7 linked regions of the Macaca mulatta genome follow. The protein of the gene in region 4 purifies or fractionates together with the protein of the main gene of each other region. This does not show direct contact. Links are inferred from orthologs where the notes say so. Each region holds a gene or a part of one and is shown on either strand. Other genes may lie near its edges.

Region 1 (4,197 bases), about 120 Mb from region 4:
CCAGCACTTTGGGAGGCCGAGGCGGGAGGATCACAAGGTCAGGATTTCGAGACCAGCCTGGCCAACATGGTGAAACCCCATCTCTACTAAAAATACAAAAAAAATTTAGCCTGGCGTTGTGGCACTCACCTGTAATCCCAGCTACTTGAACCCAGGAAGCGGAGGTTGCAGTGAGCCGAGATTGCACCACTGCACTCCAGCCTGTGCAGCAGAGTGAGACTGTCTAGAAAAAAAAAAAAAACAGGCCAGGTGCGGTGGGTCACACCTGTAATCCCAGCACTCTGAGAGGCCGAGGTGGGAGGATCACAAGGTCAGGAGTTCGAGACCAGCCTGGTCAATATAGTGAAACCCCGTTTCTACTAAAAATACAAAAAAAAATTAGCCGAGCGTGATGGCGCATGCCTGTAATCCCAGCTACTCAGGAGGCTGAAGCAAGAGAATTCCTTAAACCCGGGAGGCGGGAGGTTGCAGTGAGCCGAGATTGTGCCACCGCACTCCAGCCTAGGCAACAGAGCGAGACTCCATCTCAAAAAAAAAATAAAAATAAAACTAGGCTGCACGCTGATGGCTCATACCTGTAATCCCAGCACTTTGGAAGACCAACAGAGTGAGACTTTGTTTCAAAAACATAATTTTGTTTGTGATACAGTCTCACTCTGTTGCCCAGGCTGGAATGCAGTGGTTTGATCTCGGCTCACTGTAACCACCGAGTAGCTGGGATTACAGGCCTATGCCACCACGCCCGGCTAATTTTTGTACTGTTAGTAGAGACGGGGTTTCACCATGTTGGCCAGGCTGGTCTCGAACCCCTGACCTCAGGTGATCCACCCGCCTCAACCTCCCAAAGTGCTGGGATTACAGGCGTGAGTCACCGCGCCCAGCCTCAAAAACGTAACTTTAAAAAGAAATTTTTGAGACAGGGTTTCACCCTGTCACCCCAGCTGGAGTGCAGTGGAACCTCCACCTCCTCGGCTTGAGCAACCATCCCACCTCAGCCTCCGGAGCAGCTGGGACTACAGATGCGAGCCACCACGCCCGGTAATCCCGGTTTTTAAATAAACACGAGGGTAAGCGGGGCTCGCGGCCCTCGCCTGGGGTCCCAGCTACTTCGCAGGCTAAGGTGAGAAGATCTCTTGAGTCCAAGAGTTCGAAACCAGGTTCAACAAACATAGCGAGACCTCGTGTCAAAAATATATGTGATAAATCAGGTCCTCCAGGCCGCACCCTAGATCACAGGGTTGTTGGGATAATACAACATGAGGTAAAAGAACGTGAAATTCATGCTACAGCGCTCAGAAGTGCCACCCCAATCGCAGGCGCCCCGCCCGCCGCTTCGACCTGGCGCATGCGTGGTGCGCACACGTCGCGTCGCGTCGACCGAGACGCTCTCGCGAGACAAGCTGTGCTGGCCGAAAAAATGGCGCCGCCCAGTACCCGCGAGCCCAGGGTCCAGTCGGCTACCAGCACGACCAAACCCGACGGGGAGATGGTACTGCCAGGCTTCCCGGACGCCGACAGCTTTGTGAAGGTGAGTTCGCGGGGCCTTGGGGGTACCAGGAGTCGCCCGCGGCCGCCGGAAGCCGACCCGGGCCCTCTGGGCAGCCAATGCCCGCCCGCCGCAGTAGATCCCGAGCGAGGGTCGCGGGGCCCCTGTCCGCGCTGGGCGCAGACTCCTGCATCCTCCGGGGATGGGGCCTCAGAAACGGACACTGAGGGGCGTCCCGCTTGCCAGCTTAAGTCCATGTAGGCCCAAATGTGGAAACCCATCTTGCATCCTGGGAAAGGCTTCCTTGCCACCCAGACGTCCCTAGCCCTTGCGACTTCGCCCCCGCCACGCCCTAGCCACCCGACCAGTTCTCCTCAGGGTCTCGGCTGCTTCGCACTCCGCACACTTGCCTGGAGTTGTCCCCTCCCGCGACCAGGATGGCCCTTCTTCTCTTCCTCTGTTCCTGAAGTCCAATCCTACATAATTTTTAACCCTGAGTTAAATGTCACCTGTTAAAGCCCCATTGCACTTCTGTCAGTAACTCCTGAAAGACACACAGAGCGTTCACTTAAGATCTTTGTATAACTTAGCTTAAATGTGAACAAACGTACAACTAGGCTTAAACTGTGCATAGCTCTTACAAAGCCATGAAACTAAAATAATTTGTAAATTAGCCCTATAAATTTACAGAAATTCCACTCACGTTGTATGTATCTAATTTGCCATTAGCTAATGCTGTTGATTCATTAACATGGCTCTCATTAATTCCTGGACCACTAACTGTGGTCTTGGTTGTGTGGCAGTCATGCTCATAAGCTACCATGTGCCCCTCCATGACTTAATTTCCCACCTCCTTTCTCTGCTTTTTTCTTGGGAAATGTTTATTTGGCCTTCACATGATCAACCATCATTTATGTCACTTCACAGTTTTGTTTCGTTATCTCACAACAGCTAAAATAGAGAACCACTTGACACTAACTGAACAATAAACACAAATCCAGTTTTAGATAGTAGCTGTTACAACTTTGTCGTCCAAGGATCTAGGATAAGGTTGTATTGTTTTTAGATGCTCATCCAGATGAAAACACAAAAACACATTCCTGATCTGAACTTGAGTCATAATAATAACACTTATGTGCCAAGAACTGTCCTAAGTGCTTTTATTAGCTTATTCATTCTGTCCTCACAAAAACTCTGTGGTGTAGGCCCTTTTTATTTTTCCTGTTTTTCAGAGGAGAACACTAAAGTCCAAATTAAAGAAATCACTTGCCCAGGATCTCAGTTAATACATAGCAGAGTCAAGATTCAACCCCAGGTTTTTGTGAATATTAGATTATATATGTATGTGTTTGTTCTGTCTCTCAACTCTCCCAAGAATGTAAGCTCCAAACTTGGTTTCCCGTTCATGCTTGTATTCTTAGGGCCTAGATTAGATTGGGGTTTGGCACTAAATGAGTACTTTTTTGATGGATGAAGAGTAGATACCTTGTATACAGTAGATCATAAAAATGATATATCAAATGAATGGGGATCCATGTGTAAAACATGCCATCTTTTCTTGTTTTGGACAGTTTGCTCTTGGATCCGTGGTGGCAGTCACCAAGGCATCTGGGGGCCTACCACAGTTTGGCGATGAGTATGATTTTTACCGAAGTTTTCCTGGTTTCCAAGCATTTTGTGAAACACAGGGAGACAGGTTGCTTCAGTGGTAAGTACTATATTTTGTTTTCTTATGTTAATGAAAAGAAATGAAAACAAAGAGGTCGATAAATTTTTCCTGAAATTTATTTTTCCTTAAACATTTTCTGTGGTATGAAGAGCCATAAAATATGAAAATTGAAGCAATGGATTTTGATTAGGGAAATATTACTTAGTATATTTTTAGTTTAGCTTTTTAAAAATGTATTGACTTTTGTACTTAAAAAATACATTGACTGTAATCCCAGCACTTTGGGAGGCCGAGACGGGCAGATCACGAGCTCAGGAGATCGAGACCATCCTGGCTAACACGGTGAAACCCCCTCTCTACTAAAAAATACAAAAAACTAGCCGGGCGAGGTGGCGGGTGCCTGTAGTCCCAGCTACTCAGGAGGCTGAGGCAGGAGAATGGCGTAAACCTGGGAGGTGGAGCTTGCAGTGAGCTGAGATCCCGCCACTGCACTCCAGCCTGGGCAACAGAGCGAGACTCTGTCTCAAAAAAACAAAAAACAAAAAAAAATTGACTTTTGTACAGATCTTTTTTTAATTAATGTGGGAATTGAACACTTAGATCCAAGATTCATTCTTTCTTTCTTTCTTTCTTTCTTTTTTTTTTTTTTTTCTTTTTTTTGAGATGGAGTCTCACTCTGTCACCCAGGCTGGAGTGCAAGGGCACGATCTCGGCTCACGGCAAGCTCCACCTCCTGGGTTCACACCATTCTCCTGCCTCAGCCTCCCGAATAGCTGGGACTACAGGCGTCCGCCACCACACCCAGCTAATTTTTTGTTATTTTAGTAGAGATGGGGTTTCACCATGTTAGCCAGGCTGGTCTTGATCTCCTGACCTCATGATCCACCCACCTCAGCCTCCCAAAGTGCTGGGATTACAGGCATGAGCCACCGTGCCTAGCCAGATCCAAGATTATTTCACACAACTTGTAGAGTAGCAGGTATTTCTTTTATTTATTTATTTATTTATTTATTTTTTAATTTTAATTTTTTTTTTTTTTTTG
Region 2 (3,500 bases), on a different chromosome or scaffold from region 4:
GTCTTTCAAAAAATATAGTGTTCAAGAAGAAAAAGATTATATAAAAATTCATAAATTGTTAGAAGTGAATATTTATTAAAATTGCATCAGATAATATACATTTTCAAGTTAATTTTTTTTTTTTTTTTTTTTTTTTGAGACGGAGTCTCGCTCTGTCGCCCAGGCTGGAGTGCAGTGGCCAGATCTCAGCTCACTGCAAGCTCCGCCTCCCGGGTTCCCACCATTCTCCTGCCTCAGCCTCCCGAGTAGCTGGGACCACAGGCGCCGCCACCTCGCCCGGCTAATTTTTTGTGTTTTTAGTAGAGACGGGGTTTCGCCGTGTTAGCCAGGATGGTCTCGATCTCCTGACCTTGTGATCCGCCCGTCTCGGCCTCCCAAAGTGCTGGGATTACAGGCTTGAGCCACCGCGCCTGGCCTCAAGTTAATATTGAGTGTATTACATTCATCTATTTTCTTCTTGTTTGTTTGTTTTGAGATGGAGTCTCGCTCTGTCACCCAGGCTAGCATGCAGTGGCATGATCTCGGCTCACTGCAACCTCCGCCTCCCAGGATCAAGCGGTTCTCCTGCCTCAGCCTCCCGAGTAGCTGGGACTACAGGCGCCTACCACCACGCCCGGCTAATTTTTGTATTTTTAGTAGAGATGGGGTTTCACCATGTTGGCCAGGCTGGTCTCAAACTCCTGACCTCGTGATCCACCCGCCTCAGCTTCCCAAAGTGCTGGGACAGGCTTGAGCCACCGCGCCTGGCCTGTTTGTTTTTTGAGGCAGAGTCTCACTCTGTCACGCAGACTAGAGTGCAGTGGCTCAATCTCAACTCACTGCAACTTCCACCTCCCAGGTTCAAGCAGTTCTCCTGCCTCAGCCTCCTGAGTGGGTGGGATTACAGGCGCCTGCCCCCACACCCACCTAATTTTTGTATTTTTACTAGAGACAGGGTTTTGCCATGTTGGCCAGGCTGATCTCAAACTCCTGACCTTAAGTGATCCGCCTGTCTTGGCCTCCCAAAGTGCCAGTATTAGAGGCGTGAGCCACCACACCCAGCCATCATCTTCTATTTTTAAAAAATCTTTTCTTTATACCATATCAGCCTTTTAAAACCTGGCCATATATGAGTTATCTTTTTAACATCTTTTTCAATAACAAAAAAATTTAGTTCTTCGGTTTCAGAACATGATGTATTCTAAATGGTGTACTGATTTGTTTCTTATTCTTGTGTTCTCCTTTCTTCAGATAGTTTGTCCTGCTTATTATTGAGTGCTTCTATGGATCAGACTATTCTTTTATGGGAGTGGAATGTAGAGAGAAACAAAGTGAAAGCCCTACACTGCTGTAGAGGTCATGCTGGAAGTGTAGATTCTGTAGCTGTTGATGGCTCAGGAACTAAAGTAAGTAGCTGGAATGTAATTAGTACTGTGTTAAATTAGTATTGGAGCTTGTTCCTAAACATTTTTTTCTACATATATTCATTGTGTTGGCCTAGTTTCCTAACAATCGGTGACAAAAGATAGGATTTCAAAGCAAGAGTAAATACTCATACAGTAGGAGATAGTCAGTTGCTCAGTTTGAATATCCCTGGTTTAGAACCTTATATAAACTTCAGAAATTTTAAGAAATGAGGTGGCCGGGCGCGGTGGCTCAAGCCTGTAATCCCAGCACTTTGGGAGGCCGAGACGGGCGGATCACGAGGTCAGGAGTTCGAGACCATCCTGGCTAACATGGTGAAACCCCGTCTCTACTAAAAAATACAAAAAACTAGCCGGGCGAGGTGGTGGGCGCCTGTAGTCCCGGCTACTCGGGAGGCTGAGGCAGGAGAATGGCGTAAAAACCCGGGAGGCGGAGCTTGCAGTGAGCTGAGATCCGGCCACTGCACTCCACCCTGGGCGACATAGCGAGACTCCGTCTCAAAAAAAAAAAAAAAAAAAAAAGAAATGAGGTATGGGCCGGGCGCAGTGGCTCACGCCTGTAATCCCAGCACTTTGGGAGGCTGAGGTGGACAGATCACCTGAGGTCACCTGAGGTCAGGATGGTTCGAGACCAGCCTGACCCACATGGAGAAACCCTGTCTCTACTAAAAAAAAATAAAAAATAAGCCGGGCATGGTGGCACATGCCTGTAATCCCAGCTACTCGGGAGGCTGAGGTAGAAAAATCACTTGAACCTGGGAGGCGGAAGTTGCAGTGAGCCGAGATTGCGCCATTGCACTCCATCCTGGGCAACAAGAATGAAACTCAGTCTCAAAAAAAAAAATAAAGAAAAAAGAAATGAAGTAAACAAGCCATTCATTTATATAACTTTCTTACCTCATAGTAATTGACATATTTCCAGTCTATATCAGCTACTCTTAAGTGCTGCCATCAACTGAAAATGGCTCGTTGATCATCTGAGCGTTAGCATACACTAAAGTTAGTGCTAATAGAGTTTTACTATAGTACCTATCTACTCTTTATCATGATAAAATGGTAATAGTTAAAAGGTAACAAAACTGAGGGCAATACCATATTGATTTATTAATATGAAGGGTTATAAATCCACTTGCAATTTGAAAGTTTCCTAAGCCACATTGAAGTTTTCTGGACTTAAGAGTGTTTCTTTGACAGTTAGGATAACAGGATGCTTGTATTCAAAGGTGAAGATTTATGATTTTTCATATTGAACCAAAAGTTTATATGTTGTTTAGTCCAAACTTTAGTGAATTAACTGTACCCCTTCTTTTTGGTTAAGGAGAGATAGAAACTCAGCTTGAACTTATTTAACCTTAAAAGTAAATGGACTGTGAGATCCCAGGAAAGATTGAACAACCACATCACAAGAAGGGTAATGGTGCATTTGGGCCTCAGGAACCAGTGGAATAGAGGCTTGAATGTGGTCCGCACACCCTCTCGCTCTCTTGTCCCTCAAGTTGACTTTATTCTCTCTCACTTCAGATTGGCTTTCTTCAAAAGACATGGCAATAAGCCTGGCCTTCAAGATTTCCCAGATTTTATGTCCTGTCCTATTTGCCCTTGGAAAAGGCTAATTTCAACTCTCTGGAACACAAGTTCTTTGAAAAGGTCCTGAATGAGGAAGAGACCTACTGGTATAGGCAAATAATATGAATCATATTACATATGTCTTTTCCCTTCATATACATCTGTTTAGTTTTGCAGTGGCTCCTGGGATAAAATGCTAAAGATCTGGTCTACAGGTAAATTAAATATTTATTTTACTTTGACTTATTAATGTTGTTTCAAAAATTTAAGTTCAGAGGCCATGTGGTGGCTCACGCCTGTTATCTCAGCACTATGGGAAGCCAGGGTAGAAGGATCACCTGAGGCCACAAGTTCAAGAACAGCCTAGGCCACGTAGTGAGAACCTGTCTCTACTAAAAGTGGAAAATTAAAATTAGCCATGTGTGGTGGTATGCACCTGTAGTCCTAGCTCCTTGGGAGGCTGAGGTAAGGGGATTGTTTGAGCCTAGGAGTTTGAGGTTTCAGCGAGCTATGATATCATGCCACTGCACT
Region 3 (2,179 bases), on a different chromosome or scaffold from region 4:
CTCCAGGACTTCAGCTGTCTTAAGGTAAGCGGCGATCCAGGCCCTCCCCACCTCTCGCCCTGGTGACATCTCATGCCCTACCCCCTCCTCTTTGCAGACATTCGAGGGGCACGATGCTTCTGTGCTGAAGGTGGCCTTTGTGAGCCGTGGCACACAGCTGCTGTCCAGGTGAGTGGTCTGGGGCAGGGCAGCGATGGGGTGGGGGATGGCGGGGTGACCTGCCTGACGCTGAGCCTCTCCCCACCCCAAACCCAGCGGCTCGGATGGCCTCGTGAAGCTCTGGACCATCAAGAACAACGAGTGTGTGCGGACGCTGGATGCCCACGAGGACAAGGTCTGGGGGCTGCACTGCAGCCGGCTGGATGACCGCGCCCTCACTGGGGCCAGCGACTCCCGAGTCATCCTCTGGAAGGTTGTGGGCCCCAAGGGCAGGGAAGAGTCGGGGTGGAGTGGAGGCCCCATCTGACCCCAGTCTGACCCCAGGATGTGACCGAGGCGGAGCAGGCAGAGGAGCAGGCCAGGCAAGAGGAGCAGGTGGTCAGGTAAGACCAGGGCAGTGGCGCCCCTCCCGGCATCAACACTGCTCTGTGCTGTAGGGAAACTGAGGCTGAGCACCAGGCTTGCTGCCTGCTGACTCCGATGGCTCTGCCAGCGGCCCTCAGTGGCCTCTCTTCCCCTCCCCGCAGGCAGCAAGAGCTGGACAACCTGCTGCATGAGAAGCGGTACCTGCGAGCACTGGGCCTGGCCATCTCCCTGGATCGGCCCCACACCGTGCTGACTGTCATCCAGGGTCAGTGCTCACCCAGGGGCAAGAGGCTGGGTCTACGGACCACTGGGCTCTGCTTTCCCCAGCTCAGCCTTCCCTCCTCCCACAGCCATCCGGAGAGACCCTGAGGCCTGCGAGAAGCTGGAAGCCACCATGCTCCGACTGCGGCGAGACCAGAAAGGTTGGGGGCCGGTCAGGGTGGGTGGCCCGGCGGGCAAGGGCCAGTCATGGCAGATTGACTGGGCAAGAGGATGAGGGTCCTGTTGCCCACAGAGGCCCTGCTGCGCTTCTGTGTCACGTGGAACACCAACTCGCGGCACTGCCACGAAGCCCAGGCCGTGCTGGGTGTGCTCCTGCGGCGCGAGGCCCCCGAGGAGCTGCTGGCCTACGAAGGCGTGCGGGCAGCGCTTGAGGCCCTGCTGCCCTACACTGGTACGTGGGCACAGCCTGGGGTTGGGGGATCCTGGGGGGCGTGTGGACCACCCCCCTGACCTCCTTCTTGTCCAACCCCAGAGCGGCACTTTCAGCGGCTCAGCAGGACACTCCAGGCCGCCGCTTTCTTGGACTTCCTGTGGCACAACATGAAGCTGCCTGTGCTGGCGGCCACCCCCACACCCTGGGAAACCCATAAAGAAGCGCTCCCCTAGCCGGTCCGGTCTCTCTCCAGTCCATCCTGAACCCCTGGAAAACCCATAAATGCCGCTTTCCTAGCCGGCCCTATCTCTCTGGACTCCAGTCCAGCCCCTACCCTGGCCAACACCCTACCTAGCCAGCCAGAAGGGCACTGGAGCTGATGGTCTCCGCCTTACCAAGCCCATCCCGCACCCTGGCATGGCAGAGATCCAGCCCGCGGCTCCGCACGCTTAGACGGTGGGGGTCATTCAGAACAAGCTTTACTCAGAGGAACAGCAAATACCCGCCTCCCGTCCTGCTGGCCAGGGAGATCCGCCCTCCCCGCTCCTCCTCAGCCCTGGGATGGCGCGGTCCATCCCCGCATCGGGATTCTGGCGCTCACCGCTCCGTAGTAGGGTGCGGCACAGGCACAGGGTCCACGCACCCTCGAGACGGGCCCTGGCGCCCTGGGCGCCGCTCCAGGGCCCTGCGTGTGACGGTGCAGCAGCGGCTCTGGATGGCGCCCGCCGAAGGTCGGGTGGGCACGGTGGGGGGAGGGGCGGTGGCCTGGGAGGCTTCCCGGGAGCCCCGGGCCTCACCGGCCGGGTCGTCTCCTCCACGGAATCCCGTCCCGCTCAGGAGTGCGCCCAGCCCTTCCGGTCGCAACAGCACCGCGGGGAGGAGGCCCTCCCGGTCGCCATACCTGCGAGGGGCGGGGTGTGGTTAGGGCCCCGCCGGCCTCGGCTAGCCTCCCCCGCCCACGCCCGCTCGCGTACCTGCACAGCCACCAGCCGCGGTCTG
Region 4 (3,500 bases):
AGGAAGCTCTGCTACGGCTCTTCCACTCAACTTCTCCAGTAGGCAGTTATTTCTTCATGCTTCCCATCAAGTTTCAGATTTACCATATTGTATGATAACTTAACATCTTTTTGATAATCAAAGCAATGAGCCAAACACATGAGTAAACATAATGTAAATATATATAACATAAATGTGATACCTTCATTCTAGTAGAGTGGAGTGTCAACACGACAGTCAGGTAAGTAAATACTTCGTCCATGTGTATAAAAACCTACTTTTTCTAATCCCAAGTCAACACATCCCATAACAGAAATAATTAGAGAAATAATGTGTATAACATTCTCCGCTTTCTTCGTTTAATGAAACCATCTATGCCCACCTCTTACAACTGACCAGAGATGGGCAGCAAGCTCTCAAGTTTCTAAGAAACATCTTAGGAATAATAAAACTACTATCCAATAACGAAAATGTGCTTTACTTCAATTGGCACTGAAAACGAATAACAGAAAAATCAAACCACTTGCAGAAAAGAAAAAAACCAACCAAAGAGAAGGCTGGAACGAAAGGGAGTAAGATGTCCGAGGAGCAGACTCAGCCTCCTTGTCCTGCAGGAGCCGGCTTGTCCGCAGCCGTGGGCCATTCCCCACCTCCCAAGACCTCATCATCAGCTCCACCCAACACTTCCTCAGCTGAGGTACACTCTTCCTGGTCCCGTTTCGCTTTGTTTTTTTCAACCCAAAGTAAAGGACTGATTTCATCTGTTACTTAAAAATTGCGTTCATAATTTGCTAGTTAATCAAATGTACGTATTGAGAAAACACTACATTTTGATCTTTTGCTTCCACAGGGATACTTGATGAACTTGACATTATCTCTGACTGCGGGAAGTTTTCTGTTCTGTGTTGTTTGGGGAAGGGAGAGAGAGCTGTGGAGTACAGAACTGTCAGCTGTGGGCTCGCTGTCTACTGTATTCCATGTCAGACCTCTCCAGCACCTGTTAGTTTGTGAATGAGGTTATCCATACCTTCAGCACTTTTTCTTATAAACAACCCCCCTGCATTAAAAGTGTTCTATTGCAATTCAAGGAGACTGAGATGTTAAAGAGAAAATACGTTAAAGAAAACCCACTCTGAGCCCCAGGTTTCTGTTAGCATGCTACCTGCTAGAGCCCTGACACTGAGAAAGGCAATGGTAGTGGGAATGACACTCCGCAGAGCGTCTCCAGTCTGAGCCTACTGAGATGACGGCATTCTGAGGGGTTGATCGCACATGTGTTCTCACCCCCTGTAAGCCAGCTGAATCTTGGGTAGAAACACTACGAGATGTGCTCTTAAAATTGCCCTGTCTGCACTGTTGATAACTGAACACTCTTCACGTCTGTAGTTTGTGGTGGGCACCATTTTTCATTTTAAGTGTCATTTAACTTTGTCTATTTTTAGGCTCTGGCACTTTAAGCTGGTAAGAGAAATAGTATAAGAAATTATTTCATTCTAAAATGTATTATTTATCTATTTACTGTTGTTGTTGTTGAGACAGAGTCTCGCTCTGTCACCCAGGCTGAAGTGCTGTGGCACGATCTCGGCTCCCTGCAGCCTCCACCTCCCGGGTTGCTGGGATTACAAGCGCCTGCCACACCTGGCTAATTTTTGTACTTTTAGTAGAGCCACGGTTTCACCATTTTGGCCAGGCTGGTCTCGAACTCCTGAACTCAGGTGATCCACCCGCCTCGGCCTTCCAAAGTGCTGGGATTATAGGTATGAGCCACCGCGCCTGGCCCTAAAATTTATTTTAAGTTACTTCATGACACTGGCTTTCAGTATCCACTGGTCTTATGTTGCTCTTATGCTTTATTTCTTAAGGATGATTCTGTTTAGAGAAAGGTCATCTTTTCACTATATGGTCTCCTCTATTACTTCCTCTTGCTATTATACCAGTTTAAGGTATCTTCTGCCCTGGCTAGCAATCCCTGTCTATCCTGACTCCAGCTCTAAACATCCGTGCAAGTTTTGGGGCCCTATGTTATACTGAGGTCACTGAATAGCAGTTCTGTATTTCTCAATCAGACATTTTTCTTTGTTCTCCTGTGCTATCATACACAGAACCCGAAAACAGTGGCCAAATGTCCGGTAACTCCCAGAAAAAATATTCTCCAAAAGGGCCCAGTGATAGTGAAGGTACTGAGTACAACGAAGCCATTTGAATACGAGACCCCAGAAATGGAGAAAAAAACAATGTTTCATGCTACAGTGGCTACACAGACACAGTTCTTCCATGTGAAGGTTTTAAACACCAACTTGAAGGAGAAATTCAATGGAAAGAAAATCATCGTCATATCAGATTATTTGGAATATGATAGTCTCCTAGAGGTCAACGAAGAATCTTCTGTATCTGAAGCTGGTCCTAACCAAATGTTTGAGGTTCCAAATAAAATCATCAACAGAGCAAAGGAAACTCTGAAGACTGATATTCTTCACAAACAAGCTTCAGGAAATATTATATATGGGATATTTATGCTACATAAGGTAAGTCCTCAAAATTTTTTTGTTTCATTTTTCCACCAACACCTAAAATTAAAAGCCTTGATGTGTGAGATGAAGCTTTGCCTATAAACTGGATATTGGAATCCAGGACTCTGAAGACTAATGGCAGGTGGATAAAAACTTCTCTGAAGATAAGACTGGGATTAGGGGACCTGTTAATGTTTCTTTCCCATGTTCTCCATCCCAGAACATTAAACTTAGGTCTTTACGGTAATGTTCACTGAGAAACCTTAAGACTTTATCAGTTGTTATTATCTATGCTAAGTGATCAAGGACAGTGTGAGGTCTACATCCATACACATGTAACACTAAGTTTATCCCTTTGGTTGTTATTCTACTGTTGTAAAAATCACATTGTTTTTATTTTGAATGAAGTATTGTCCTCTGAGGCTTGAGTTCTGGTTGTGACAGTCAGAATAAGAAATCAACTGACTACTCATGGCTGGAAAACAAATGCAGAAAGTAGGTAGGACAATGTTCTGACCAAATGAAATGAATCAATTGGGAAATATGAATTTGGATGATACTTGGAAAATCAGGTAATCTAAATTTGTCATTTATATATAAGTAACCAAAAAAATAGAGCACAGAGTGCTTTTCCTGATATGTTCCAGTCCAAATTCATGAAACTAGTTAGCATGAGACATTCAACCCCCCAAAAAAAGCATCTATCCTCTGCTATTGATTCAAGCAATTTCTTGTCTGATCAATATTCACTATCCATTATATTTGTTTCCTAGAACAAGCCATGTAACCTGCATTACTTTCTGTACATACTCTTTTTGTTCATTTTTTGAGACGGAGTCTCGCTCTGTCGCCCAGGTTGTAGTGCAGTGGCGCGATCTCGGCTCACTGCACCTTCGCCTCCTGGATTCAAGCTATTCTCCTGCCTCAGCCTCCTGAGTAGCTGGGACTATAGGTGTCTGCCACTACGCCTGGCTAATTTTTTGTATTTTTAGTAGAGACGAGGTTTCACCA
Region 5 (3,500 bases), on a different chromosome or scaffold from region 4:
AGGCTGGGGCAGGAGAATTGCTTGAACCCAGGAGGCAGAGGTGGCAGTGAGCCAAGATCGCGCCACTGCACTCCAGCCTGGACAACAGTGAGATTCCGTCTCAAAAAAAAAAAACATAGATTAAATTCACATTGGAGCTTGTTTGCCTTGAAAGAGTTCCCTACCTTGTAACAAGTTCTGTGTATTTTGTGTGTGTGTGTTTTCCCATTTATTACTGAAATTTTATGTTCATTTTCCCTGGGTGCTTGAAATTATATATTCATTTTGAGGTGGTTAGACCTATTGAATTTTCAGTTCTCTGAAAACTTTTATGTTTTACATGGAAATCTTTATACTGTGATCTTAGACTTCAGAAGTAATTAGGAGAGCATAATGAGGATCAGACTGCTAGAAACAGGACGTAGTGGTCAGAAGATTATGTTAGATGATCAGTGCGCAGCTCTCAGTAGTGCTTGACTCCTAGTAAGCACTTAATGAGGGTTAGCTACTGTTATCAGAAGCATGCTATACTTTTGTGCAAAAAATGAGGGAAGGTTGGGATTTTAAAAAGAGAAACATGGTGTTTGGAACCTGGAGCAGCATCATCAGCTGTAGGATCATGACACAGCGAGATTCATGGTCCCATGGTTGATGGCTGACTTGATTTTGAGCTCGGTTCCTTACACTGAAATTGCTAATCTCATCATAATAAATAGGCCCTTTTAAGAAGAGCAGATCTGAATGTGTCCTCTCAGAGAGAATCCCTTTCCTTAAGAGGAGGTTTTATGTTTGAAAGAGACTGGATTTGGAGTTGGAGAACCAGGACACTGCCACTGTGAGTCCTCTGGCAGGTCCTCTCCTCTTTCTGGATGCCTCATCTGTAAACCTGGCCAGTTGGACAGAACTCTTTCCGAGGCCCAGCCAGTTCTAAAGAATATGGGGTGCTCAAACATGCATTGAATACTTGTAAAGTTTGTTACAAGAAATAGGAGTGTCAGAGGTGGGGAAACAAATTGATGACTCTTCTGTTGCATCTTCTCTATTAAGAATAAAGGAATTTTTAAAAATTTTCAAGTGACTTCTCTGTCTTTGAAAACATCAGATTTACACAGGAGTTTAGTTAGGGTGGGGATGACATTGCTTTTGTCCCTTAAATTCGAACAACTAGAAAAGGAGGTTACTGTTCTTGGGTATGTTGATTGGAAATGTCATACAGTGTAAATTTGTAACTGCTTAGTTGAGGCTTTCTGGATTTGGTTTCCCCTCCTCCTCTGTTTTTGTTTTTCATTGTGGTAGCTAAACAGCCTTCATTTGCCATGAATAAGCAACCTAACTTTAAAAGCCTTTATCCACTTGTTCGATTTAACAGAGTTTCTTTATCTCCTTTCACATACATCCCAGCAGGGAAATTCTAATAGAAATGTTCTTCATTCATGCCGATGCTACATTTAAATGCAGCTGCAAATTAACTGTCTCTACTCAGTGACCTCAGCAAGTGATGTCCCTCGTAATAGTGGCCCAAGAAATACTGGCCATAATGAATGAAGATAACACCTTTAAATATTTTTTAAGTCCTTGGGCTTGGTCAGTTAATATAAATGAGTTGTTCAGTAATGCTAGTCACAAAAGAGAATTGATTCTGTGTTCTAAGTGTAAATCTCTGTGTGCTTTAATGAGACAATTTCAGAACTAGCTCCACATTTTCCATGAAGTACGCTGGGAAAAATAGTTAAGTATGTCCTTCACCATTGAAATTCCAGGCATACTTTAAGACTGTAGATATCAATTCTTTTTGTTGTTGTTGTTTATAATTTTATAGGACATTGTGCTCACTTCGGCGGCACATACACTATAATTTTATAGGAAATTATCAGTTCCTTGTTTAGCACAGTAAATGACAAATATGGAAGGAAGGTCCTGTGGTACTTTTTTAAGAATGCAGATATTGATTCTTCTTTTTGTTTATAATGTTATAGGAAATTATCAGTTCGTTGCCTAGCATAGTAAATGACAAATATGGAAGGAAGGTCCTGTTGTACTTACTAAGCCCCAGAGATCCTGCACATACAGTACGAGAAATCATTGAAGTTCTGCAAAAAGGAGATGGAAATGCACACAGGTAAAAACAAGTAGAATGGCTTGACTTCTTTATTCCTCTGCTCTGGTTGTCTGCTAATGTTGAATAGTGCATGCGTCCAGAAATCCACTTACGCCTCTCTCTAAAATTGCTGAAAAGGTGAATTCCATTGTCACGCCTGTATTTTTGACAGATTCTTAAAGCTTTTATCTTGAAAAGGAAACAAAAGTGTCATGCCAAAAGAATACCTCTGAGCCCTTGGCACGTAGTAGGCATTCAGGTGTGTGGTTTGATTTTTGTTTTGCTTTCTTTTCAAAGCTACCGATACCACGTATTTGACTACCTAGAGTATGGTGTCCATACGGCAGTGTAAATGTGTTGTTTTGTGGGTATGTTGTTTGGTTTTTGGATTTTTTTTTTTTGGTATTACACAAGCCAGACTCCCTTTATTGAGCGCTTGTTCTGTGGCAGGCATTATTCAGATCGCGGGACAGAAATATTTTTAAAAACAGATAGAACACATACTCAAATCACTCACTGTCTACGTGCTTAACAGAAAGATAGACAATAATAATAGAGTGTGATACAGTCTGTGATAAGCTCTTAGAGGTTTTTGTGATAATAAGATCACATTTCCTTTGCGATTTATCTTACCCTAATACCCCATTCAACATATTCAACAGTAAGAAAGATACAGAGGTCCGCAGACGGGAGCTCCTAGAATCCATTTCTCCAGCTTTGTTAAGCTACCTGCAAGAACACGCCCGAGAAGTGGTGCTAGATAAGTCTGCGTGTGTGTTGGTGTCTGACATTCTGGGATCTGCCACCGGAGACGCTCAGCCTGCCATGAATGCCATCGCCAGCTTGGCAGCAACAGAACTGCATCCTGGTGGCAAGGACGGAGAGGTAATATGCCGTTAAAGGCCAGGCAGGAAAGCTGCAAAGGCCACAAAAACTTCATTTTTGGAGGATGCGGGGTGTCAGTAAGAAAACTGGGGAGGGAGATGCCTGTTGAATAACAACAAAGAACCTCCCACAGCAGCAATTACATTCATCTTTAATTTTCTCTAACCATCTGGGTCAAAGCCTGGCACTTGGGAATGTTTTGCAGACGTGTATTTGGTTATGAATGAAATCATTGCCAAGTGTTGAATGCCCAAGGTGCTTCTGACACCTGAGATTGGGGAAGAGAAGATTGGGGAAGAGAAGAGATCTTAGAGAAGCCCTGGCTCCTCCTGACCATATTAACAAAGGGGAAAGATGAATGCAGCTTGAAAGTTTCGCTATAAGGAGACTGAGCTGGTTGCCTCCCATACTTGCTAAGGAGAAACCCAAGTAACTGGGAACGATCGCTATTGCTCTTGAAAAGGAGTAAGGTTGAGCTGAAGAGATGCTTTCTTGAGCTGCTCATCAGATAATCCCCTTAGGTAGTCAGGTGTACTTA
Region 6 (4,100 bases), on a different chromosome or scaffold from region 4:
GAAGGACGAATTGCGGGAGACTCTCAAATCCCTAAAGAAGGTCATGGATGACCTAGACCGAGCCAGCAAAGCCGATGTCCAGAAACGAGTGAGTCCGGGCAGCACCGGTGGCCAGAGTGTTTCCTAGGCAAAGGCCGGCAGGATACAGCCAGGGGTTTGCGGCTTGTGCTTTTGGTCTGAGCTGCTCTTCTGGACTTTTTTCTTGCAGGTGTTAGAGAAGACAAAGCAGCTTATCGACAGCAACCCCAACCAGCCCCTCGTCATCCTGGAGATGGAGAGCGGTGCCTCAGCCAAGGCAACCCAGGGGCCGGGGCCCCCTCCCCTGGGGCACATCAGCCCTTTGGTGGCTGATATGTGACCTCTGTGGCTCTGAGCCAAGTGGTTGCCTAAGGGCCCACTGTCTGGGATTAAGGTTGGGAGGAGCAGCAGCTCCCTGCATGTGGGAGGCACACCTGGGCCAGGGTGTGGGCAGGGCCCTACACTGGGGTCCTCCACCCAGGCCCTGAGGACTACATCTGCTCTGGGAAGGGGTGGGGGTGGGTGGCGGTCCTTCTGAGGGCTGCAACTGCTCACACTAGTGAGGGTCCCTGCTCCAGCACCATGGTCTGAGCCAGGTCCTCCCCACAGGCCCTGAATGAAGCCTTGAAGCTCTTCAAGACACACTCCCCTCAGACGTCTGCCATGCTCTTCACAGTGGACAACGAGGCTGGCAAGATCACTTGCCTGTGTCAAGTCCCTCAGGTCAGAACCACCTTGCACCAGTGGGAAGTGTTGGGTCTTAAGCTTGTTTGCTGAGGCCTGTGTGTGTACAACCTGCATTTAAAAGAGCCTGTCTCCTGCCTGCCTGTTGGTCACCTTTGCCAGTACCTCTTACCCAGGCCTCCTCACTGGTTGCATCTGTCTGGTTGATACTTGGCTTTGCCACTCTGTCCTGTCCTGGCAGGGGCCATGACTGCCCCCTGCACTAGCCGTAAAGTCTGTCTCTGCCTCCAGCAGTATCACCCAGGGCAAAGGAGTGGGTGATGGCTCCTCCCTCAATCCCATTTTCTGTCCTGACTTCCCCCTTCCCTTTCTTTCTTCTAGAATGCAGCCAATCGGGGCTTAAAAGCCAGCGAGTGGGTACAGCAGGTGTCAGGCCTGATGGACGGTAAAGGTGGGGGCAAGGATGTGTCTGCACAGGCCACAGGCAAAAACATTGGCTGCCTGCAGGAGGCGCTGCAGCTGGCCACTTCCTTCGCCCAGCTGCGCCTCGGGGATGTAAAGAACTGAGCGGGGGAGGAGGTGGCTTCTACTGGCTCCATCCGTCCAGCCGGGAGCTCTTGATCTGCTACAAGAACATTTGAATCCTGGGACCTTTTGAGAGCCCCTCCTACCCCGGCTGTACCTGGAATACCCTCACGAGCAGTCCTGTGACTCAGCGCCCCTTATACTTCTGCCCTGAGCCCTCCACGTCAGTGCCATCTGTCGAGAACCACTACCCCCGCATTGCTGTTGATCACCACACTCGCATCTGTAGATAACAGCTTTCCAGCCTGAGCTTTCCGCGTCAGCAAGGACGAATCGTTTTTTGCTGCAGAGAATAAAAGGACCACGTGCAATACTTAATGCTATATGATCTCTATCCCTCTTCCCAGGTGGAGCTCGCTGTTTTGACAGCCCTTGGCCCCTGCTGTCTGTAGAATAAATGCTGTGGCTTATACTGGCTGCTGTAGTGTTCACCTAGTCCAGCCCCAGAACCCTAAATTTTGGGAAAAGCCCCTGGGGTTGCCTCAAACGTTTGTGGAGGTTGAGGCCAAATAGGGTGACATGGAGCAAGGCGTTCATAATTCAGTAGATGGGTGGGGTTAGTGGAAGCAGAGAAGCCTTGGAGCTGCTCTCCCGCTCCCTTCCAGCAGGAGGGATGGATCAGGCAGCCCTGCACAAGTGGGACCAGGGCGCCAGGGACGCCGGCCGTTCTCCCTCCGAGCCTCCAGCAGGCGCTGTAGCGCCGCCCGTCACTCTCCCGACAACCCTCACGCAGGCGCGCGTCTTTAAGCAACGGAAGAACCAGTGGGTGCGGCAGTGCGTTGGGCGGAAGCGGCTCTCACGCCAGGAGCCGCCATGCCCGGGGACCACCGCCGCATCCGCGGCCCTGAAGAGTCGCAGCCGCCGCAGCTGTACGCGGCCGACGAGGAGGAGGCGCCCGCCGCCCGCGACCCAACGCGACTGCGGCCCGTGTATGCGCGCGCCGGGCTGCTGAGCCAGGCCAAAGGCTCGGCCTACCTGGAGGCGGGAGGCACAAAGGTGCTGTGTGCAGTGTCGGGCCCGCGACAGGCCGAGGGAGGCGAGCGCGGCGGCGGCCCGGCCGGATCTGGCGGCGAAGCCCCGGCCGCGCTGCGCGGTCGCCTGCTGTGCGACTTCCGCCGCGCGCCCTTCGCGGGCCGCCGGCGCCGCGCTCCCCCGGGCGGCGGCGAGGAGCGTGAGCTGGCGCTGGCGCTGCAGGAGGCACTGGAGCCGGCCGTGCGCCTGGGCCGCTACCCGCGCGCGCAACTCGAGGTGTCGGCGTTGCTGCTGGAGGACGGCGGCTCGGCCCTGGCCGCCGCGCTCACCGCCGCCGCGCTCGCCCTGGCCGACGCGGGCGTTGAGATGTACGATCTGGTGGTGGGCTGTGGCCTGAGCCTCGCGCCGGGGCCCGCGCCCACTTGGCTGCTGGACCCCACGCGGCTAGAGGAAGAGCGCGCCGCCGCCGGCCTCACCGTGGCGCTCATGCCTGTGCTGAATCAGGTGGCCGGGCTGCTGGGCAGCGGCGAGGGCGGCCTGATCGAGAGCTGGGCGGAGGCCGTACGCCTGGGCCTCGAGGGCTGCCAGCGCCTCTACCCCGTGCTGCAGCAGAGCCTGGTGCGGGCGGCGCGCCGCAGGGGCGCCGCCGCCCAGCCCTGAACTAGAAGCCTGAGCAACGACGGACGCAAGCCGAGGACCGTGCTGCCGCCGTCCCCGAAAAGACCCGCGCCGTCGGCCTCCAGCCTGCGTCGAGATAAGCAGCCGGAGCCCTGGAGAGCACCTGGGTAGGCCCTAGCAGAGCCAAGGCGCCGGACAGCTGTGGTGTTGGAAAGGGTTTTTACAAACCTCGTTAAAGGAACTTTACTTGAGCCGGCTCTTAGCTTCGACCCAGTTGAGGAAACCTGTGAGCGCATCCTGACTCCCAAGTTGGAAACTTTAGCTGGACTTACCTGGAAGCTGGTACCTAGAGCTGCTGTCATTCAGGCCAGCCAGTGACCCCCTCCGATATAACTGGGCGACTTTTCAGAGGATGGACAAGACGACTGTGCCTTCTGTGTCTGAGCCAAAAGAAAGACCCTTTTATATTTGAAAAACGTCTTATGGTGTGGTTCTTCTTGGTCCGGGATTTAAGAGAGCAAGGCTCTTTTGTTCTTGCATCCCAGGTGTCAAGGGTCGCGGCGGCATTGCCTTAAACGGGTTCTGTTCCTTAGGCCCACGTGAACAGGAGAGACGGGCTGAAAAGAGCTCCAGAGCCTGATGGGAGCGCTGTGATTTGGAGAGCAGCTGCACCCACACGAACCAGAGTTAGGGGAACTGCTGAGATACGACGAGAGTAGGGAGAGTTGGCCGGGCGCGGCGGCTCACACCTGTAATCCCAGCACTTTGGGAGGCCAAGGCAGGGAGATCACCTGAGGTCGGAAGTTCGAGATCAGCCTGACCAACATGGAGAAACCCCGTCTCTACTAAAAATACAAAATTAGCCAGCACTAATAATGGTGGCATATGCCTGTAATCTTAGCTACTCGGGAGGCTGAGGCAGGAGAATCGCTTGAACCCGGGAGGTGGAGGTTGCGGTGAGTGGAGATCGCACCATTGCACTCCAGCCTGGGCAACAAGAGCAAGACTCCGTCTCAGGAAAAAAAGTACGGCCCCAGAAGTGCGCTGAGTGCACCTCGTGCCCCAACCTGGCTTGGTGCTGGGTAGCTGAAAAGGGTTTTGCTCTGGGTAGAAGCCATCTGTCCTTGGCCATGTGCAGAATGGCACAACCCGAGCCTCCACGGCTGATGAGAAGTGGCACCCTGGTCCTACAAGGAAGACCCTGAGCAGCACCGCAGAGGGCA
Region 7 (3,943 bases), on a different chromosome or scaffold from region 4:
GTTGTGGGAGGTAATTAAATCATGGGGGTGGGTAGGTTTTTCCCATGCTGTTCTTGTGATAGTGAATGTCTCATGAGATTTGATGGTTTTATAAAGGGCAGTTCTCCTGCACATTCTCTCTTGCCTGCTGCCATGTACAATGTGCCTTTGCTCCTTCTTTGCCTTCCATCATGATTGTGAGACTTCTACAACCATATGGAACTGTGAGTCCATTAAACCTTTTTTTTTTCCTTATAAGTTACCCAGTCTTAGGTATGTCTTTATTAGCAGTGTGAGAACAGACTAACACAGGAACAAAGTTTTAGTTTTAGTTTTTTCTTATTTATGTGAACAGGATTAAGATATAATTGGCATAAAAAATGGGTTGTAAAGATAGTATTTGAAGCCTCATGGTACTTTCAAACCAAAATCCTACAATAGATACACAAAAAACAATAAATTAGTCATATTACCAGAGGAAAAAAAATTCCTGGCCAGGCATGGTAGCTCATGGCTGTAATCCTAGCACTGTGAGAGGCCAAGGTGGGTGGATCACCTGAGGTCAGGAATTCGAGACCAGCCTGGCCAACATGGTGAAACCCTATGTCTAGTAAAAATACAAAAGTAGCCAGGCGTGGTGGCAGGCACCTGTAATCCCAGCTACTTGGGAGGCTGAGGTGGGAGAACTGCTTGAACCTGTAAAGCAGAGTTTGCAGTGAGCCAAGATCATGCCACTGCACTCCAGCCTGGACAACAGAGCAAGACTCCACCTCAAAAAAAAAAAATTACCTTCACTAAAGTGAGACAGGAAGGAAAGGAGGAAGAGAAGACTGTACAACAAGAAAACAGCAAGATGGAGTTACGTCCTTACTTATCAGTAGCATTAAACATAAATGGACTAAACTCTCTAGTCAAAAGAGTGGCTGAATGGATGATAAAAACAAGACCTAGTGATCTGTCGCCTAGAAGAAACACTTCATCTATAAAGACAGACTGAAAATACAGAGATGAAGAGAAATATTCCATGCCAATAGATACCAAAAAAGAATGAGAATAGTTACATCAGACAAAGTAGATTAAGATGAAAACTAAGAGGCAAAGGTTGCTATGTAATGATAAGGAGGTCAAGTTGTGCAAGAGGTTACAACAATTTTAAATATATATGCACCCAACACTGAAGGACTCAGATACATAGAGCAAATATTAGAGCTAAAGAAGGTAGGCCCCAATACAATAATAGCTGGAGACTTCACCCCACTTTCAGCATTGGACAAATCTTCCAGACAGAAAAAGAAATACTGGACTCGATCTGCACTATAGACCAAATGGACCTAATAGAGAACATTTAGAGAACATTTTGTGCAGTTACTACAAAATACACATTCTTTTCCTCAGCACATGGATTATTCCAGGATAGACCGTATGTTAGGTTACAAAACAGGTGCTAACACATTCAAAAAGTTGAAATAATGTTGTGATAGTTAACAAATGTCAACTTGATTGTATTGAAGGATGCAAAGTATTGTTCCTGGGTGTGTCTGTGAGGGTGTTGCTGAAGGAGATTAACATTTGAGTCAGTGGACTTGGAAAGGCAGAACCACTCTCAATGTGAGTGGGCACCATCTAATCAACTGCCAGTGTGGCTAGAATAAAGCAGACTTGCTGAGTCTTCCAGATATTATCTTTCTCCTGTGCTTCTTCCTGCCCTCAAACATCAGACTCCAAGTTCTTCAGCTTTTGGACTCTTAGACTTACACCAGTGATTTACTAGGGACCTTCAGCCACAGACTGAAGACTGTACTGTCAGTTTCCCTCCTTTTAAGGTTTGGGGACTTGGACTGGTTTCCTTGATCCTCAGCTTGCAGACAGTCTATTGTGGGACTTCACCTTGTGATCATGTGAGTTAATACTCCTTAATAGACTCCCTTTCATATAGACACCTATCCTACTAGTTCTGTCTCTCTAGAGAACCCTGACCAGTACAAATGTCAAGCATCTTCTCTGACAGCAGTGAACTAAAACTATAAGTTAATAATAAGAATTTTGGAAACTATACAACTACATGGAAATTAAACAATACACTCCTGAATGACCAGTGGTCAACGAAAAAATTAAATTGAAAAGTTTCTTGAAACAAATAGAAACAACATACCAAAATTCACAGGATATAGTGAAAGCAGCAAGAGGGAAGTTTATAGATGTAACTGCATACATCAAAAAAGATGAAAAACTTTTAAAAAAAATCTAATGATGTATCCGATTAATAGCCAGAATAAAGAGCTCAAACTCTATATGAAATAAAACCTAGTAATCTGAACCAAAAAAGGGCAAAATATTTGAATAGACATTTCTCAAAAGATGACATACAAATGGCAAACAGGCATGAAAAGGCATTAAACATTACTGATCAGAGCAATGAAAATCAAAACTATAAATCTCATCCCAGTTAAAATGTCTTATATAAAAAAGACAGGCACTAACAAATGCTGGCGAGGATGTCAAGAAAAGAGAACCCTCATTCACTGTTGATGGAAATGTAAATTAGTACAGCCATTCTGGAGAACAGTTTGGAGGTTCTTCAAAAAACTAAAAATAGAGCTACCATATGGTCCAGCAATCCACTGCTGGGTATATAGTTGATGTAATTTTGCTGTGTCTCCACCCAAATCTCATCTTGATTTGTAATCCCCACATGTTGGGGAAGAATCTAGTGGGAGGCAGTTGGATCATGAGGGCAGTTTCCCTCATGCTGTTCTCATGATAATGAGGGAGTTCTCATGAAATCTGATGATTTAAAAGCATTTGGCAATTCCCCCTGCTTGCTGTTCTTCTGCTGCTTTGTGAAGAAGGTGCCTGCTTCCCCCTTGCCTTCTGCCATAAGTTTCCTGAGACCTCCCCAGCCACGCAGAACTTTAAATCGATTAAACTTCTTTCCTTTATAAATTACTCAGTCTCAGGTATTCTTTATGGTAGTGTGAAAATGGACTAATACAATATCTAAAAGAAATGATATCAGTATATTGAAGAAATTTTTTTATTCGCATTTTTCTTGAAGCACTGTTCACAATAGCAAAGATTTAGAAGCAACCTAAGTGTCCATCAACAGATGAATAAAATAAATGTGGCACATATAAATGAATAGTGGTCCATTGTGTATAAGAATGAGATCCTGTCATTTGCAACAACATAGATGGAAATGAAAATGTTAAGTGAAGTAGCACAGGCACAGAAAAACAAATATTGTATGTTCTTAATTATCTGTGGCATTGGGAAGGTTACAGGAGGGGTAAGGTGGGGATGGTGAATGGGTAAAAAAATAGAATGAATAAAATCTATTATTTAATAGCACAACAGGGTGACGAGTTAACAATAATGTTACAGCACATTTCAAAGTAACTAAGTAATTGAATTGTTTAACACAAAGGATAAATGCTTGAGGGATTGGATACCCCACTCTCCATGATGTGAGTGTTATGTATTGCATATCTGTATCAAAACATCTTATTTACCTCATTAAAATGTACCTACTATGTACACACAAAAATTAAAAATTAAAAGAATTAACCTGGAATAGCTATATCAACTACAGTCAAAGCAAACTCCAGAGAAAGCAATATTATTATGCATAAAAGGGAATGTATGATAATGATGTCAAGTCTATGAAAAGACGAATTTTTAGTGTGTATGTACCCACAATAGATCAAGATATGTGAGGCAAAAAACTGAACTGAAAGAAATAGGTAAATCCATTATTAAAGGTTGAGATTAATGCCTTTCTCCATCAGTAATGCATCCAGCAGATAAGGGTATGGGGAAAAAATAGAAAAGCCAGTTAACACTGAACATATTTTAACCAACAGTATTCAATCGAAATGCACACAATATATTTAAACAGTAGAATATACATTCTTTAAGTAAACCAAGTAGAATATTCACCAAGTAGACCACACTTTGGGCCGTAAAT

What was found.
Region 1: the proteins of IFI16 (region 4) and EXOSC10 purify together in Homo sapiens (affinity purification with mass spectrometry; 3 studies listed by BioGRID and IntAct, with this or other methods). This does not show direct contact. The link is inferred for Macaca mulatta from reciprocal best matches to the Homo sapiens genes IFI16 and EXOSC10.
Region 2: the proteins of IFI16 (region 4) and WDR12 purify together in Homo sapiens (affinity purification with mass spectrometry; 3 studies listed by BioGRID and IntAct, with this or other methods). This does not show direct contact. The link is inferred for Macaca mulatta from reciprocal best matches to the Homo sapiens genes IFI16 and WDR12.
Region 3: the proteins of IFI16 (region 4) and TBL3 purify together in Homo sapiens (affinity purification with mass spectrometry; 3 studies listed by BioGRID and IntAct, with this or other methods). This does not show direct contact. The link is inferred for Macaca mulatta from reciprocal best matches to the Homo sapiens genes IFI16 and TBL3.
Region 5: the proteins of IFI16 (region 4) and PUM3 purify together in Homo sapiens (affinity purification with mass spectrometry; 3 studies listed by BioGRID and IntAct, with this or other methods). This does not show direct contact. The link is inferred for Macaca mulatta from reciprocal best matches to the Homo sapiens genes IFI16 and PUM3.
Region 6: the proteins of IFI16 (region 4) and EXOSC6 purify together in Homo sapiens (affinity purification with mass spectrometry; 3 studies listed by BioGRID and IntAct, with this or other methods). This does not show direct contact. The link is inferred for Macaca mulatta from reciprocal best matches to the Homo sapiens genes IFI16 and EXOSC6.
Region 7: the proteins of IFI16 (region 4) and TRIM21 purify together in Homo sapiens (affinity purification with western blotting; 3 studies listed by BioGRID, with this or other methods). This does not show direct contact. The link is inferred for Macaca mulatta from reciprocal best matches to the Homo sapiens genes IFI16 and TRIM21.

The regions. Positions count from the first base shown.
Region 1 is NC_133406.1:229,624,351-229,628,547, forward strand, and holds the start of EXOSC10 (exosome complex component 10), read left to right. Parts: upstream 1-1,397; 5' UTR 1,398-1,417; coding exon 1,418-1,528; intron 1,529-3,057; coding exon 3,058-3,194; exon of another isoform or gene 3,195-3,220; intron 3,221-4,197. UniProt on the Homo sapiens protein: Catalytic component of the RNA exosome complex which has 3'->5' exoribonuclease activity and participates in a multitude of cellular RNA processing and degradation events.
Region 2 is NC_133417.1:108,101,113-108,104,612, reverse strand, and holds part of WDR12 (ribosome biogenesis protein WDR12), read left to right. Parts: intron 1-1,230; coding exon 1,231-1,385; intron 1,386-3,138; coding exon 3,139-3,184; intron 3,185-3,500.
Region 3 is NC_133425.1:3,197,554-3,199,732, forward strand, and holds the end of TBL3 (transducin beta-like protein 3), read left to right. Parts: coding exon 1-24; intron 25-97; coding exon 98-168; intron 169-255; coding exon 256-412; intron 413-483; coding exon 484-542; intron 543-686; coding exon 687-790; intron 791-875; coding exon 876-947; intron 948-1,039; coding exon 1,040-1,198; intron 1,199-1,279; coding exon 1,280-1,413; 3' UTR 1,414-1,679; downstream 1,680-2,179. Other genes in the region: NOXO1 (NADPH oxidase organizer 1), read right to left, coding at 1,778-2,081, 2,155-2,179. UniProt on the Homo sapiens protein: Part of the small subunit (SSU) processome, first precursor of the small eukaryotic ribosomal subunit.
Region 4 is NC_133406.1:107,905,289-107,908,788, reverse strand, and holds part of IFI16 (gamma-interferon-inducible protein 16), read left to right. Parts: intron 1-508; coding exon 509-676; intron 677-2,081; coding exon 2,082-2,504; intron 2,505-3,500.
Region 5 is NC_133420.1:96,642,571-96,646,070, forward strand, and holds part of PUM3 (pumilio homolog 3), read left to right. Parts: intron 1-1,955; coding exon 1,956-2,098; intron 2,099-2,739; coding exon 2,740-2,962; intron 2,963-3,500. UniProt on the Homo sapiens protein: Inhibits the poly(ADP-ribosyl)ation activity of PARP1 and the degradation of PARP1 by CASP3 following genotoxic stress. Binds to double-stranded RNA or DNA without sequence specificity. Involved in development of the eye and of primordial germ cells.
Region 6 is NC_133425.1:69,619,055-69,623,154, forward strand, and holds the start of EXOSC6 (exosome complex component MTR3), read left to right. Parts: upstream 1-1,300; 5' UTR 1,301-2,100; coding exon 2,101-2,919; 3' UTR 2,920-4,100. Other genes in the region: AARS1 (alanine--tRNA ligase, cytoplasmic), read left to right, coding at 1-88, 209-295, 628-741, 1,084-1,269. UniProt on the Homo sapiens protein: Non-catalytic component of the RNA exosome complex which has 3'->5' exoribonuclease activity and participates in a multitude of cellular RNA processing and degradation events.
Region 7 is NC_133419.1:71,426,933-71,430,875, reverse strand, and holds the start of TRIM21 (E3 ubiquitin-protein ligase TRIM21), read right to left. Parts: upstream 2,801-3,943; 5' UTR 2,791-2,800; intron 1-2,790. UniProt on the Homo sapiens protein: E3 ubiquitin-protein ligase whose activity is dependent on E2 enzymes, UBE2D1, UBE2D2, UBE2E1 and UBE2E2.